Linked DNA regions of Nothobranchius furzeri. The protein of the gene in region 2 interacts with the protein of the main gene of each other region in a biochemical or structural test. Links are inferred from orthologs where the notes say so. Each region holds a gene or a part of one and is shown on either strand. Other genes may lie near its edges.

The links. The genes of interacting proteins can lie anywhere in the genome.
Region 1: the proteins of arhgef16 (region 2) and tax1bp3 form a complex in vitro, tested with the Homo sapiens proteins (2 studies listed by BioGRID and IntAct, with this or other methods). The link is inferred for Nothobranchius furzeri from reciprocal best matches to the Homo sapiens genes ARHGEF16 and TAX1BP3.

The regions. Positions count from the first base shown.
Region 1 is NC_091748.1:55,896,219-55,898,766, forward strand, and holds the end of tax1bp3 (tax1-binding protein 3), read left to right. Parts: intron 1-519; coding exon 520-597; intron 598-685; coding exon 686-835; 3' UTR 836-2,007; downstream 2,008-2,548. UniProt on the Homo sapiens protein: May regulate a number of protein-protein interactions by competing for PDZ domain binding sites. Binds CTNNB1 and may thereby act as an inhibitor of the Wnt signaling pathway. Competes with LIN7A for KCNJ4 binding, and thereby promotes KCNJ4 internalization.
Region 2 is NC_091755.1:32,500,322-32,504,717, reverse strand, and holds the start of arhgef16 (rho guanine nucleotide exchange factor 16), read right to left. Parts: upstream 2,885-4,396; 5' UTR 2,802-2,884; intron 2,083-2,801; 5' UTR 1,873-2,082; intron 1,359-1,872; 5' UTR 1,331-1,358; coding exon 737-1,330; intron 398-736; coding exon 352-397; intron 1-351. UniProt on the Homo sapiens protein: Guanyl-nucleotide exchange factor of the RHOG GTPase stimulating the exchange of RHOG-associated GDP for GTP. May play a role in chemotactic cell migration by mediating the activation of RAC1 by EPHA2.

The sequences.
Region 1 (2,548 bases), on a different chromosome or scaffold from region 2:
ACACAAAGGGAACACGAGTTGTTTCCTCTTTTAAGTTGTTGTGTACTCTGAAGTTAAACCTAATCACTGATAATCTGCTGAGAATGTTCAGAAAATGTCAATTTCAGCATTATTTTAAATCACTTGTTGCAAAACCAAAAGCTCATTGTGAGCTAAGGATAATGTATGTATTCAGAAATAATAAAGAGTGAAATGTGATGCAAAAAATATTGTTTGTGTGGATTTTCTGGGACAGATGATATGGATTAGTGAAGTGGTTTGTGTATGAAGTGAGTTTGAGCTAAATGAAATAAATTACACATCTAGTCTGAACCGTAACAGTCTCCATTCTTACCATTAATCTCCTAATCCAACACTCTTTTCAAGATTCGTAAGATACAGTTAAAAATCTGGACACTAACCCGAACTTATTTTCTTTATTACCTTTTTTGTTAGGCCTGTTTCAGATTTGTGGATTTATTTTTCATTTATGAGTCTGCAGCTTTGATGATGTGAGCTAATAGGTGTGTTTGTTCACAGGGCATCTATGTGACCAGGATAACACCAGGAGGACCGGCAGAAGTGGCAGATTTAAGGATAGGAGATAAAATAATGCAGGTGCGTCATTGTTGTTGAGGAAATAAATCCACATGATGGCACTGTTTCCTCCTTTAAGTGCCTCTGAAGTAGTTCTTCTTCCTGGCAGGTGAACGGCTGGGACATGACCATGGTGACCCATGATCAGGCGCGTAAAAAACTCACCAAGAAGAAGGAGGATGTGGTGCGATTGCTAATAACCAGGAAGTCACTGGAACAGGCAGTCAACCAGTCAAAGGGCAAATATCCCAGACCGTGATGTCTTTGCACCCCCCCCCCCCCAACACACCCACTATAACAGCAGCTTCACACAAGAACTGAGAACCCTCGTGTACACAGAAGATGTTCAGATGATTGTAATGAAACCAATGCAAAAAAAAACAGAAGGTCTCAGAATACATCAGGTGTGTGTGTGTGTGTGATGTTTAGCTGGCAATCTGAAAGTTTGACACTTCTTTTTAGAGTCTCACCTGCACTTCTTAGCTCTGTTGAGATATCTGAAAGTATGAGATTATCCTAAATCTGGGGCATCTTTTAAAAAGAGGAGAACAAGCAGAGAACTTAATAAAGAAAACCAAGATTTCCATAATATCACACAGACCCACGCTTTTGGAGAACTAGTGCATTTCCCTGGAACGCAGCTTTATTTGCTGTGTAGAACAAAGTTATGGAATGGTTCCCATTCAACTTGTTTTTAAAGTCAAATTTAAATCATTCTTAAATATTTTTGGGAACATTTTATTTTTTGTTTTTGTCTATTTTCTGCTGTGAAACTAGAACAAATCCCAAAGTTAGAACCAAGCCACTGTAAGACCATAATACAGAATGTAATGCAGCTTATGTGATCATTTATAAAATAATGGTACCATATACTGTGTAAAACCTGTACAAAGGTACAAAGTGTATATTGGTGTCAGTATGTTTTTTTTCTTCCTTTTTGATACAAGAGTTTCTAGCTTTGGATCACTCACTTTGTGGTATTTTTTATTTTTACTATGTTCTATTACTTTTGTAAACTTTATCTAGCAAGAAAAAAAACATAATTTGTTGTTTTTAGAGAAAAATCAATCCTGATCAGCTTTTACTGTCTCAAAACTTTAAAACTACAATGAATATTATGGATGTTGCTTTGGATGCAAAAACGTTGTCCTACTCAAACACCTTTCTACTTTATTTTTAGTTTGTTTAAAACTCCAATGATTGATCATCTCATGTTATTAAGCATGTATCAAAAATAAATGAGAGATGACAGGTTATTCAACTTTTCCCACATTTAAACAGCAAATCCATTGTTCTTAAACACAAATCTGTACATATTTCCTAATTTTCTATCTTTGACAGTGGATATTGGGTCATGCTTTTTCATGGTATTTTGTATGTTTTTGATGGCATTTGATTAATAAACTGTTGAATAAACTTCTGTACATCTAAGGTTTGTAGCATGTGTTTTTGATATTAAAATGCTTTGTTTACCTCCATCACAACAAAGTTAAAGGCACATTCTGCCTAATGTGTCTTGTGCTCTGGCAAATCAAATCATTAAAATAAGGCATTGACGTCTTTTTAGATTTATTTTTCCTTTTTACACTCAACAGACCATAATTGAAACTCCAGTAAAACAATTAAAAAAACTAAAATTCCCTTTTCAGATCATTGAAATGGGCGTATTAGCAATAATTGACTAATCATCCCTTTTTGGTACCCAGTAGAACTTCTGCACACAGTAGAAAAATTGAGTTTGTCATTATGTTCAGATGATCACAGTAAGTCTGTTAACATCAACGTTTCCAGTACAAAAAATGTAAAACACATTATTATAGTCTCAAAATATTTCTGACTCCCCTTCTTTTAAACCTCACATGCCCTTCAAATAGTCATGTTGTCACCTTTAAAGTAATCAACTGACATTTTGAAGCGAATAATCCATTTCCTGACCTTTATGCATTGACCAACGAGCTTTTAAAGTTCAGAG
Region 2 (4,396 bases):
AAAAACACAAGTTTTTAGTTTGTAATGTTATGAAATCAAGATCTAATACCGACAAATAAATAAAGAAGTGGAAGTGTCTAAAAGTTCATGACAAATGTCCACCCTGCAGGATGCAGACATTTGTCATTCAGAAAGACTGATATCCTGGTCCTTGTCCACTTCCTCAAGCCGTTTCCCAAGAAACGACACTTGTAAATGATTCCATCAAACCATTTTGTTTGCGTAAAAATTCCACAGCAAACATTTCTTCTAAAGATTAATTAGATGCATGTTTAGAAAAAGTTTCCACTACTGGGTAGTGCTGTAACCAAATTTAGCCGAGCAGACAGAGTGACACAAGAGTGAATGTACCGTCTTTGAATGATCCACGCTGGTTCCTCTTTCTCCCCAGGGTTCGCTACAGAGAGACATAGCTTGATTTTATTATTCAGTCTCAAGATCAACTCCTACTTACAGATATTAATTGCAAATTTTTTGATTAAAGTTCCTGCAAAAGCCTCTGTAAAAATGTTTGGATGTCATTCTGTCCCTGTGACTAATCAGCAGAGAGGATTGGCTCCTCTTGGCTGATTATCTGCTGTTTATGTCCCATTATCAAACTTTGCCACTTTGGCAGCAGACTGACGTAAAGGAAAAGACTAAACAAAGTTTTAATGTTTTGAAACTGCGTATAAAACCAGCTCCTGTTACTTGGAGGACTACAAACACATCGCCACACCACGTTTTGGATGTATACCTTGCGTCTAGCGCTACGAGCCGGTCCAGGGCTGCTCGCTCTATTTTCATCTACGGGTTTCAGAGTAGCGGGGGCCTTTCGTCCTGCCACCATGGCTTCAATGTCCAGACTGGTCACCGCTGCTCTGTACGACTTATTCCGGTTCCTCCTGAAAGCCGAGCCCTCTCCATCACTTTCACAATCTTCCCACCGTGCATCTGCCTCGAGGGCTGAGCAGCTGCTGCGGTTCTCATTGCTGGACTTCTCCAGTCCCAGTGGGAACATCACCACAGTGGTGTGGTGTCGGTTTTTAGGTCGGCTGGTCGCTGCTAAGTTCTTGGGAATCAGCTGGAAGGTGCCAAACTTCTTTGCTGCGGCGCTCTTGGTGCTCAAAACTACCTGCTGAGGCACTGCGGCTCTATCCACCGTGTCCTCCTCCTTCTGGGGAGGGGGTGGTTCACCTGGAGGGGTGGATGCTTCAGCCAGGGGAGCTGGAGGGCTTTCTGAGGGGTAACCTTTATCACCCGGCTCATATATATGAAGTTCCGTGGAGAAGCGAGTCTCCATTTGAGGGTTCTGGTTGTCCATGCATGTCTCTGATTCACCGCGAGACATAGTGTCCTGCAGCTGAGTCCTTCAACACCTACAACATCAGAAAAATGCTTTTAATAAATCAGGACAAAAACATTAACCCTAACCAAACTCAAATCTTACAGGCAGTTTGTTGTCAACTTATATTAAGGGACTTAACCCATGAGTCATGGCACACACACACACACACACACACACACACACACACACACACACACACACACACACACACACACACACACACACACACACACACTAGAAACTACAGGAAAATAAACTCCATTGTTTCTGATGAATGCCTCCGAACCTCCTGACCAACTCCAACATGTTATTACGGTCTTAAGATGGGAGCAAAGGCCAGAGCATGACCTCGGTTCTGACAGCAGTTTTGATCGTTAAAGTAAATAAATAACAAGCTTCATTTCAGATGTTTTCACTCGCTGGATTTAGTCTGAAACATCAGCGTCGCCAGAATGACGGAGTCGCGTGGGAGAAAAATGTCTGCCAGACATCTCCAAGCTTCCGAACTACGAGAAGACGCCGAGTCCAGGAAAGCGAGTCCTTACCTGAGAGGTGCGCCTCCGAGCGCGGCTGCCCAGTTCTGAGATTCGGGTCAGTCCGGCGGTTCTGCACGAGCTGAGCTGATAACAGCGGCTGTCGACTTCCGCCGCCCTCCGTCACAGTTCGCTGCCTGTCCTGCTTACGTCACTACAGGTGAGCGCCCGTCAAATCACCGGTAAACAACGGCTTTGCTTGTCTTTGGAGTGAAAACAAGCCTACAGGAAGCAGGTTAGCAAGAACACCCATTCACCTGAGATTGTTTTAGGACTATTTAGCACTTTAATAAAAAACACGTTTTTAAATACCTTTAGAGAGTAAATGTGTCTCCTTCAATAATAAAAAATTGAGACGAACACGTACAGTCAACTTCTCTGACCTACATTAAAAGAATTATTTTTGACGTCTTGGCTTTGTAAAAGGGTAAAAAGTGACTATTTGGCGTCACCACGTGTTCAATCTGCGGTATTACATCAATGACACAAGTACATTTAAAAACATTTTTAAAAATAATACAATAAAAATAAAAAAGTAAAACGCATAAAGTGTGCTCATTACTTTCTATGTAAATTAGAAGTAGTGCTTTTTAGATTTTTTTCTCACGTTTTAATTATGTGTTTCTGTACCATGGGTTTTTGTTTATTCGCACAAAAACTTGCTTTTAACTATGCAATAATTAGAAATTTGTGAGCAGTAAAAGAAAACAAAATGTGGGTTTAATAAACATTTATCTATTTTGCATGAAGAAAATATGTTGCAGAACTTCAGTTGAAGCTACATAAAACTAGTACATAATATTTAAATAACATACATTTACCTTGAGATTCTTATCATTTTAGTTACCTAATTGCAATTATTTCTAGCTAATAAAAATCCAGAGTTGATCATGTAAAAATAATGTAATATGCATATATGAAGTAAAATCAAATGTACAGACATGGACAAAATTGTTGATACCCTCCAGTCAGTTAAAGAAAAACCCACGATGGTCACAAACAACTTGAACCTGACAAAAGTTACAATAAATAAAAATTCTATGAAATTTAACCAATTAAAGTCAGACATTGCTTTTCAACCATTGCTTCAACAGAATTATTTAAAAAATAAACTTATGGAACAGGCCTGGATTAAAAGGATGGTACCCCTAGAAAAGACTGAAAACAATGTGAGCAAAGAGACAGGTGTCTACAATCTTGTAATCAGTCAGTGGGCGTGGGCTCCAGGGCTCCAGGTCACTATGCTATTGGGTAGTGATGATGAGCTGAAGCATTCCAGTCAACTGGTCAACTCTTGATTGATTGCTCTATTGTGCCATCAAGTGGATGATTCAAGTAAAACGGCAAACATTTAAACTGAAAAAATAAATGCTTATGATGGCAATATATTCTTAATGTCTTAAACTGTCCTTTTAATATACTGTCTGGTCCAAAAGAGAAAGGAACCTAACAGGACACAGAGTCTCAACAGCACAATGCGACAGGGGGAATCAGCAGTGTTTGGCTGCCCCTTTTATTTTGAATCCGGTGCAAACCGGCGAGCCAGTTCCTGAATCGGTCAAATGGTACCGACTGCCAACGAGGCCTCGAACGTCGCTGCTTATGTAATCAACACAAGCCTCGACACGCGCTTCACAAAAAAATCTTCCTGGATACCTGACACACGTTTCGAAGCGTCGACACATTGGACACATCGGACACATCACAATTTTTTGGTGACATGGTATGCACCACACTCAACATGGACCAGAGGAAGCAAAGGAAAGATTTGTCTTTTCTTTTTAACAAGCATGTTGAAAGGTAAAGGCTATAAGACCATGTCCAAGCAGCTAGAGCTTCCCGTGACTACAGTTGCACATATTATTCAGACATTTAAGATCCATGGTACTGTAGCCAACCTTCCTGGTTGCAGCCGCAGAAGGAAAATTGATGAGGAATCAAAGAGACAGATAATCCAAATGGTTACAAAAGAGCCCAAACTTCTAAAGCAATCCAAGGTGAACTTCAAGTTTAAGGATTATCAGTGTCAGATCGCGCCATCCATTGTTGTTTGAGTCAAAGTCGACTACATTGGAGACAACCATTGTTGAAAACAAATAATAAAAAAGCCAAACTACATGTTGACAAGCCACAACACTTCCGGGAGAATGTCCTATGGACAGATGAGACAAAAATTGAACTTTTTACCAAGGCACATCACTTCTATGTTCACAGATGGAAAAATGAAGCATATCAAGAAAAGAACACTGGCCCTATTGTGAAACACGGAGGAGGCGCTGTCATGTTTTGGGCTGCTTTGCTGCATCTGGCACAGGGTGTCTTGAATCTGTGCAGGGTACATGAAATCTCAATACTATCAAAGGATTCTAGAGAGAAATGTGCTGACTAGTGCCAGAATGCAGGTCATGGGTCTTGCAACAGGACAATGACCCAGAAATGAAGCTAAAAACACCCAAGAATGACTAAGAGGAAAACATTGCGCTATTCTAAAGTGGCCATATGAGCCCTGACCTCAATCCTATTGAGCATCTTTGGA